Macaca fascicularis: one gene and its partners. The protein of the gene in region 3 binds, or shares a complex with, the protein of the main gene of each other region. Links are inferred from orthologs where the notes say so. Each region holds a gene or a part of one and is shown on either strand. Other genes may lie near its edges.

What was found. The genes of interacting proteins can lie anywhere in the genome.
Region 1: POLR1B (region 3) and POLR1F share a complex: the UniProt entries of both Homo sapiens proteins name them as parts of the RNA polymerase I (Pol I) complex. The link is inferred for Macaca fascicularis from reciprocal best matches to the Homo sapiens genes POLR1B and POLR1F.
Region 2: POLR1B (region 3) and POLR2H share a complex: the UniProt entries of both Homo sapiens proteins name them as parts of the pol I pre-initiation complex. The link is inferred for Macaca fascicularis from reciprocal best matches to the Homo sapiens genes POLR1B and POLR2H.

Annotation. Positions count from the first base shown.
Region 1 is NC_088377.1:110,498,556-110,502,313, reverse strand, and holds the end of POLR1F (DNA-directed RNA polymerase I subunit RPA43), read right to left. Parts: intron 3,553-3,758; coding exon 3,141-3,552; 3' UTR 253-3,140; downstream 1-252. UniProt on the Homo sapiens protein: Component of RNA polymerase I (Pol I), a DNA-dependent RNA polymerase which synthesizes ribosomal RNA precursors using the four ribonucleoside triphosphates as substrates.
Region 2 is NC_088376.1:96,289,767-96,292,044, reverse strand, and holds the end of POLR2H (DNA-directed RNA polymerases I, II, and III subunit RPABC3), read right to left. Parts: intron 1,919-2,278; coding exon 1,835-1,918; intron 919-1,834; coding exon 801-918; 3' UTR 504-800; downstream 1-503. UniProt on the Homo sapiens protein: DNA-dependent RNA polymerase catalyzes the transcription of DNA into RNA using the four ribonucleoside triphosphates as substrates.
Region 3 is NC_088387.1:19,552,773-19,556,430, reverse strand, and holds part of POLR1B (DNA-directed RNA polymerase I subunit RPA2), read right to left. Parts: intron 2,028-3,658; coding exon 1,856-2,027; intron 638-1,855; coding exon 356-637; intron 1-355. UniProt on the Homo sapiens protein: Catalytic core component of RNA polymerase I (Pol I), a DNA-dependent RNA polymerase which synthesizes ribosomal RNA precursors using the four ribonucleoside triphosphates as substrates.

The DNA of each region.
Region 1 (3,758 bases), on a different chromosome or scaffold from region 3:
TGTATTGATTTTGTAACATAAAATATCTACTCTTTGGCAAAAAAAAGGCAAAGATGACCCATGTGGTAAATGTATAAAACAAGTTAAAGAGATCAAATTTCTGTCATGTCATTTGTAAGTATTCTATCCCTGACACACTGAAGTGATAAAAGTCCTTAAAAACCATATTACATATAGGCAAAAAAAAAAAAAAAGGATACATTTATTGAAACAAGTGAAGAGGTTAATAATATCACATCAGAGGCAAAGTGATACCATTTGAAACTGTGCTTTTTATTTATCAATTTAAAACTATCTGTTGATGCTTTCATTATACAAAGGATTCACTGTTAAATACTATAGATATACTATAGATATAGTTAAGGCATAATTCCAGTCCTCAGGAAACATTTGGTCGAGACAAATTTGATTAAGAGACAAGCTTTTCAAACAGGTAAACAGTTTGAAATAATGCAGAGTGTTACAAGTAGAAAAATATTTATTAAAGAAAAATAAGAATTATGGTTATGAAGCATGCACATTTAGCCTTGTCTGGAAAAAGTTTATGGAAGAAGGTAGTGCCTGAGGTCTTTTACATTAGATAACTTCTTAGTCCTCTGTCAGGTTCTCCACCTGGAATTGCCACAGTTAGTTTTTCTTCTCCAAGGGTCAAAATGCTGCTCATCCAACAACCAGCTTAAACACTAGGCATAAAGCATTAAACATTCATTTTCATTTGTACTTATCATGTATACTTAGTTGTGTATCTTATAGACAAAACGGTAAGCCCTTAAGAGCAAAAACTGGTTAAGTCATTTCTGTATCACTGGTGACTAGTGAGGTGTCTTGCACAGTGAAATGGGTGAATGATAGGAACTGGAGAGAGGGTAAGGGATCTAGTCTAGGCTAGAGGGTTTATATGAACAAATTCCAAGACAGAAAAGATACACGAGGTTAGTGCAGCATGTGACAAATGTTTTGAAGAATATATGGTAGACACCATCATCAGTCTTTTTGTGTCAGAAAGATGAACAAAAAAACAATGAACAAAGTTATTATATTCTAGGAAAGACAAATGGCCAGATCTGACTTTTCAAAACTACTCACATTATGAAAAAAGCAGGAACAAATCTAGTTTCAAGTTCAGCATGCCGCTCCCTGTTTAATTCATAAAACACAACTGGCAGAAGTATTACTTGAAGCAAAACAAAAGTAAATGTGGGAACTTGCTTATTTTGCTAAGCCACAATGTATTTTTCCAGCAATAGCATAAATTTGACATCTTTCTTTGTGTCTATGGAAAAGGGGTTTAGAATTGTTTCACTAAAAATTAAATTTCTCTATTGTCAAACATGATTGTATACTCAAATTTTAAAATGTGAAGGGAATATTTATTAAACATTTCCTGGGTATGCCACTATATTAAGTCCTGGTAATATGATACAGTTTATTTCAAAGTTTTTTCAACTCACACTTCCTTTAAAATAGCACTGACCAAAAGAAAGTTAATGTGAGCTTCATGTACAATTTTTAATCTTTTTGTAGAAAAATAAACTGAGAAAGGCAAAAATTGTTTTATTTAACCCACTATACCAAAACATACTGATTTCACTAGTACAAAAACTGAGATAGTTTACATTTTTTGGTACATCTTCAAAATCTGGTATGTACTTTATACTGACAGCACATCTCAATTTGGTTGAGCTATATTTCCAGGGCTCAATACTCACGTGAATCTCAATTGTAATCAAAGAGGCTGGCCTGCACCCTTCCATTGTCTAGCACATCTACTTGTAGACAATTGCCAACATCTGCCACTCTGCCAATTCTGTATCCCATCAATAAAAGTTCAGATCAACATATATCACTAGCAGAATTTGTTCATTACCAAATATTTAGCTGTAAGATCAGCACTATGTCTGGTACTAAATAAATGGCAACAAAAATGCTGACATGGGAGTTCAACCATTCATCTATTTGCAGATACTAACACAGGTAACAGTGAGTGAACAATCCTCCCTGGTTTTATTCATTCCACTTAACACAATTATTAATTTTCTTATTTATTGTGTGTATATGCACATCGGTTTCTCTTATGACATGCCACAAGGGAAGGAACTACATCTATCTTGTTTGCCGTTACATCCCTGGGCCTTAGCAGAATGTGTTATACAAAGTAGATGGTCAAGTATGTGGAAAATGAATAAATTTGGCCATGCATTGATTATCAGCTTCAACCAGCTTGTCATTTCATTACACTTTGTCAATTAGTCAAGAGACATTCCACATTTTCTCAATGAAAGCAGTGAACAGAACAACTGTTTTCTCTTCAGCACAATATCTTATAGCCCATTCCAATCATTAAAAAGTAATCTGGAATTTCCCACAAGTCAGAATCACATTTCTCCTGTCTTCATTAGACTCTCCTCCAACATACAACAAAATTAGAATGGCTGAGGAACAAATGAACAAGTACAAGAAAACAGTCCTTTCCATCAACCTCTCAGACTTAAGAAGACAAGGACACACATGCACCTGGAAGAAAAAAAGTAATGAATAGCATTTACCACCACACAGTCAGTCCAGGCCTGGCTTTTAAGAGCTGTGAAGACTTCAGAAACTTCTTTGGAAAACCATTTTATGTTAAACAATAGAAATACTGTAGAAGCCATGATAAAGGAAAACCTAAAACTAGTTAATGTCCTGAGTTTTTAAAAAAGCAAAATAAAATAGCATGTAATAAGGTGAAGCCTATTAAACACACACAAAATCGAATCATCAAAATCTCAAACTTAACTCATTCTTCAGTCATATAATATTGTATTATAAAGTCCTTCGGCTAGTCTTGACATTGTAGAAATAATTTTATGTAGAGTGCAAAACCTGGAAGAATATGAGAGCCGACAGTGAGAGCCGACAGTGAGAGCAGCTATCTTTTTATTTTGTATAAAATGGTACTTTAATAATACTGATTCTCCCCAGTTTAACTTATGGTCAGTTTTATCATTTTTAGCACATAGAGCCTCCTACTCCTAGTTCAGTATTTTCTGTTTTGGAAAGTACTGGTATGCTTAACCATTTCATATCACTGAAAACATTTATTCATCAATTGTATGTCGATCAATCTTTTAAAAACTGAATCATATTTAAAATTAGTGACACTAAAGAAAATTACTTTTCCCTTTTCTTTTTGGTGAGCATTTCAAAGGTGGGGTAAATTCAGCCTCTTCACTGTGTTTTCTTTTCTTTTTTTTCTTTTTATGGTCACTTTGGTAACCACTGGAGTCACTGCCTTGGAAAACAGGGTCCTGGTCCTGAACTTCCTGGTGCTTTTTCTTCCTTTTCTTTTTCTTTGGCTCCTCCTCCCAGAGGCCATTCACATTATTAGTATTCTGCAGGGCTGACTCTTCCATTGGAGTGTCATCTGCATCATCTGCTAGCTTTGTAGTACCACTGTCCACTTCATATGTCTCTGGGTCTTTCTTCTTTTTCTTCTTCTTAGGTTTTTTAGCAGCTTCCTCAGTGCCATTTTCTGTAACTTCTTCAGAAACTTCAGAGCGCTTGAATCGTAAACTATAAATTAACAGTTAAAAAAATGAACAGAGCAATAAGCAAAAAACAAAGAACAAATTGAGATCAAGATACCCTAACAGGCTAAGGTTTTCTAAATAATGACAGCAGTACAAGACACATAACCATGGCATAAATTCCAAATATTCTATCCCATTATCCCTCAATCCACTAAAATATGCATGGGCTGCTGAATGTTAAATTGAAAA
Region 2 (2,278 bases), on a different chromosome or scaffold from region 3:
TGGTATTGCTGCCCTGTCCACTTCCACTTACCCTCCCTCCCACTGGAATGTAGAGAGCCAGCTCCTCCAGCTGCTTCCAGAACCACCAAGTCCTCTCCTCCTACTCTCTTCATAGTCATCTCCCATGCCTAAAAGGCTAAAAGCCTCTGTGCACATCTTCCATAAAAATAATGAACATTTCTAGACTATGCAAGCGACTCAATCAAGTCAGCGTGAACTGACTTCCTAAGAGCCTGAAAGTGCTGGAAGGACCCGAGCAGGGCTCCTTGCCAATTCAAAATTCCGCGCCAAATGGGTGGTATCTTCTGGGCCTGGGGTACCCTCAGGAGCCAAAAGTACAACACTCTCTCCCAAACGGAAAACCGCATTGGAGGATAAATGTTGAGAACAGTCAGCCAGGAGACTGAGATAACCCTGAACCCAGATACCAAAAGGCTGGAATAGATCCTACATTGACAAGTGATCAGCTGGCTGTGGGCCAGAAACAGTACACCACAGACAAATTGCAAAAAAATGATTTTACAGTAAATGAACTTTTTACAAAAAGGGGAGGGGCAGTCTGAAAAAGTAAAGTTTAATTTAAAAATCATATACACAAAGCTTCTGATTCATTTGCAGCTTTCCCACTGTCTTTCACAGGCGAGTCAGTTTCCCTTTGAGTGCAGGCCAGTTAAAGATGCCACCACAGTGGACAGTGAGCCAGCCCCTCCTCAACAGGTGAGCAAGACTGGCTGCCACTCAGGCTTGAACAATGCCGATGACCTGAGTGACTAGGCAGCAAGGCTGGCTTCTGGCGAGGTTCAGAAGGCTAGCTTCTTCATCAGGAGATAAACTCTGGAATCCACCTCGAATCCATGCAGGTTGTTGGCATCCCCCTGCAGCCTCATGAGCAGGCCCCCATAGGACACATAGGCAGAGCTGAAACAGAAGGCCCCATCCCATGAGTCTGGAGCACTGCTACTCAGCAGCTCTCCATCTCAGCCTAAGAAAAAGAAGAGGCATCTTTCTACTGTTTTGTCACTAGGAACCAAAATTCTGACAAAGATCAAGATATGTGCAAGGCACTGTTCTTTATATTAGCGAAGGTGGAAAACACCTATATGCCCCAAATCAGGGGAATGGTCAAATGAATCAAGATGTATCCACTTACTGAAATGTTATGCAACTATTAAAACATTTAAGAAAAGCTTCACACTAACATGGGGAAACATATTTTACATAATGTTAAGCAAAAAGAGCAGAAGAAAACATAATAAACACCACAGTCTCAAAGGAAAAAACAGAACACCAGGATATGCAAAAAAGTCTATGTAAAAGGTTATCTCTGGGTATGGAATTACAGGTGACTTTTTTTTTTCCTTCTTCACATTACTCTTCTGCATTTCAAATTGCTTACAAAAAGCACATATTGTTTTAATAAGATTTTAAAGAAAAGAAAAAATAGCTGGACAGGAAAACCAAGGAACTAGGGATTGGGTTACAGAGTAGCAAAACACACACACACACACACACACACACACACACACACACACACACACACACACAGCCTAATAGGATAATCACTTAATGCTGCATTTGTTTCTGGAGAAGCAAGTCTCCTTTGCACTTTACACAGTAAGATAACCAGTTTCTCATCTGGACTGCTGGGCCAGGAGGGCCTGACAAAGAGCAGTCTACCTTTCAGACTGGAAACTGCTCTCAGAACCATTTCTTTCTAGTTCCTACCTAGGTCTGAGGTGCCTGAGGAGAGGGACCCAACAGAGGAAGCAGGAGCATAGCTCAAAGTCTCAGAACACAGAGAGGGAAAAGAACCTCATAAGATTATGTAACTTACAGGCGTGTTGCTGCTTCAGTAGAAGTTTCGTCTCCCTCAATCCTGTACACTTTTCCATACATTACATATTCAAATTGGTCAGCCCTGTGGAGCAATAGCAGCAAAGTTATTCTTAACAGTAATTAACAATATAAAAAATCCCATTTAAAAATGGTTACTGGTCGGCTGGGCGCGGTGTATCAAGCCTGTAATCCCAGCACTTTGGGAGGCTGAGGCGGGCAGATCACGAAGTCAGGAAATCGAGACCATCCTGGCTAACACAGTGAAACCCCATCTCTACTAAAAATATAAAAAAATTAGCCGGGCGTGGTGGCGGGCGCCTGTAGTCCCAGCTACTCGGGACTGGCGTGAACCCAGGAAGCGGAGCTTGTAGTGAGCCGAGATTGAGCCACTGCACTCCAGTCTGGGCGACATAACAAGACTCCGTCTAAAAAAAAAAAAAAA
Region 3 (3,658 bases):
CACGTAATCTTGGCCGGGCGCGGTAGCTCACAACTGTAATCCCAGCACTTTGGGAGGCCGAGGCAGGCACATCACGAGGTCAGGAGATCGAGACCATCGTGGCTAACATGGTGAAACCCCGTCTCTACTACAAATACAAAAAAATTAGCTGGGCGTGGTGGCGGGTGCCTGTAGTCCCAGCTACTTGGGAGGCTGAGGCAGGAGAATGGCGTGAACCCAGGGGGCGGAGCTTGCAGTGAGCAGAGATCGTGCCACTACACTCCAGCATGGGCAACAGAGCGAGACTCCATCTCAAAAAAAACACAAAAAACAAAAAAAAAATCAAGCAAGATGTTTATCACTATACACTACATACCCAAGTTGCAGAGTAAAGCCGGAATAGATGCCGTATACACAAACTGTGTGACAACCTCACATACGGCAGTTAGGTGGTTCATCAGGCCACAGGGCTCCCCGTCTGGGGTATGCACTGGACAAAGGAAGCCCCAGGACTCTGGCAGCAGCCGGCGTACTGTGGTGGTCCTCATCTTGGCAAAATCAGCCCCTCTGTGCACGCAGCGGAAATGGGAGAGGTAGCGTATGAAGTTCAGCTTGTCAGCCACAACACAAAGTCCAGAATTTTGTAGGAGGCCAAGACCTTAATAAAACAAAAGTCACTCAAAAATGGGCCAATCTTTTAAAAAACGGAAATTTTTGAGGCTTTGTGACGACAAAACCTCAGAGCACTCTACAGATTACAGAATGAATTATTACAACATTTATTCTCCTAGCTCTGATGAGTGGAAAGAGTTCGCAAAAAATATGTAAAATAATCCCCAGATTTCACAAACTGTATGAGCCCCAACTAGTTCCCTATCTCCTCTATGACCTCCTTTGTAGGAGAACATTAAATGAGTTAATAAAATAGCAAGTAGTTAAATTCATCTGAGAGGGTCAGATAATAGACAAGCAAGTAAGAAGGCTAATGAAAGAATCGGCATCAGTAACAGGGGTTTTAAAAAAAAAAAAAAAAAAAGGCTGGGCACAGTGGCTAATGCTATAATCCCAGCACTTCAAGAGGGCGAGGTGGGTAGTTCGCCAGAGCTTAAGAGTTCCAGACCAGCCTTAGCAGCACAGCAAAACCCCATCTCTACAAAAAACACAAAAATTAGCCAGGTGTGGTGGCTTGTGCCTGTAGTCACAGCTACTAGTGGGGCTGAGGTGGGAGGATCACCTGAGCCCGGGAGGTCAAGGCTGCAGTGAGCCATGATTCTGCCACTGCACTCTAGACTGGGTGACACAGTGAGGCCCTGACTCACAAAAAAAGAAAAAAAAAAAATTTCTGGGTTCCCAATTACCACTTTTTAAGTTTCCAGGGTCATTCTCTTTTTTGCTGAGACAGGGTCTCACTCTGTCACCAGGCTGGAGTGCAGTGGTGCAATCACAGCTCACTGCAGCCTTGACCTCCTAGTCAAGCCACCCTCCTACCTTGGCCTCCCAAAGTGCTGGGATTACAGGCATGAGCCACCACACCTGGCCTCTCAGGTCACTCTGAGGCAAGGCAACTGGTTTAGAGATGGGCATGTACAGCAACCCATGCAGAATTCCTATTAGGTAAGCCTTCCTCAGAGGTCTAAGTGGTCTTTTCATTTTCTAGAAGGAGGCAGAGAAAATGTATTTGGTTATTTGAATTAAATTTTAGCTATACAGACACCTTGTCTAAAGTCCTTCAGATCAATAGTCATCAAAGTCATAGTTACGAGAAATTTACTTTTTTGGGGGGGTTTGCTTTTAAAAAGAACCTGTCAAGGACAGGCAAATCTACATTAAGCAAATAGTTTGAAAAACATAACTAAAATGCTCTATTTAATTTTACCTGTTTTAGAACGCAGATTCCCAGTAGCAAAAAGGTATTCAAATGGTTTTGTAAGGTCTATTCCCATAGTAAAAATCCTCATCAAATTGTCAGTGTTCATGGAAACATTGGTCTTCTGAGCCTTCTTATCAAAAGCTATTTTAATAGACACTAACCAACCTTCCAGTTTTTCCTGAAATAAGAAAAACAAAAAATTAATATAAAATAGTATGTGAGCTAGGTGTGGTGGCTCACATCTATAATCCCAGGATTGGGTGGATCGCTTGAGACCAAGAGTTCAACATGAGACTGGGCAAAATGGTGAAACAAAACCCTGTCTCTACAAAAAATTTAAAAATTCGCCAGAAGGGGGTGGGGTGAGGGGTGGGGCATGCCTGTAGTTCCAGCTACTTGGGAGGATGAGGCAGAAGGATCGCTTGAGTCCAGGAGCCTAAGGCTTCAGGGAGCCACGATTGTGCCACTGCACTCCAGCCTGGGAAACAGGGCAAGACCCTATTCTCAATAAAATAAAATTATTACAAACGTCATATTTATTCCCATGTAATCTGTACAACCTTTAACAAAGGTCCACTAACATACACTGGATATGGAATACAGCAAAACCAAAAACCTGAAGGAGAGCTTTTCAGGTGCAGAAAGGATAGCTCTTCAATGTCATGCCCTCCTTCACCCGTTATATTTGTTACACACCTAAAAGCAATCACACGAACTACACAGCCCATACCTGAAAGCAATCACACGAACTACACAGTCCACACCTAAAAGCAATCACACGAACTACACAGCCCATCTTAGTCTATGCTGCCAACACTCACTGAAATGGTTAAGGCAGCCTGCAATTGCAAAATTACAGCTAGACTGGAGGACTGAGTTCTGGTATTCTGCAGCACTGCAGGTTGAATAAGTTAACTATATTTGTTGTATATTTTCTCACTGCAGCCTCAACCTCCTAGGTTCAAGGGATCCTCCCGCCTCAACCTCCTGAGTAGGTGGGACCATAGGTATGTGCCACCATGCTCGGCTAATTTTTAAATTTTTTTTGTAGAGATGGGGGTCTCACTTTGTTGCCTAGGCTGGTCTCAAACTCCTGGGCTCAAGCAATCCTCTTGCCTCGGCTTCCAAAGTGTTGGGATTACAGGCGTGAGCCACCATGCCCAGCCTTATTGTTTATTTTCAAAAAGCTAGAAGAGGGGATTTTGAACGTCCACAACACAAAAAAAGATACATGTTTGAGGTGATGAATGTGTTAACTACTCTGATTTGATCATTATACATTATTTACATACATGGAAATATCACTGCATACCCCATAAATATGTAGTTATTGCATGTCAACTAAAAATAAAAGAAAAAAAGACTATACACCATCAGTGCTTCCTATGGGTGGTTCAGAAACCACTGAAAACACCTAAGAGAATGTTTGAAATACGTTCTCTCCTGTATTTGATATTTGGAAGAAAACCTGGAAGATGTACACAGGTCACTTAATCACGGTATACCTTTTCCAGCAGGCCCCCGAGTCAACACATTAGCCATTGACTCTTGATAACCCAGCTCTTTAAAGTACCAGTGTTTGAACACTCACGCTTGGAAGACCTAACTATTCTTCCAGAAGACAGCACTGGAAGTGCCACATGTCATTTCTGCATATTCTCTGGCACTGACACTGCATTTAATATCACTGTGGTACAGTAATATTACATTTTCAGTACTTTGAAGGAATAAATTTTGGAGAGGTGTGGGAAGAAGGAATATATTTTATAAAATGTTACAATGAATCTCACAACTGACTACACATTAATA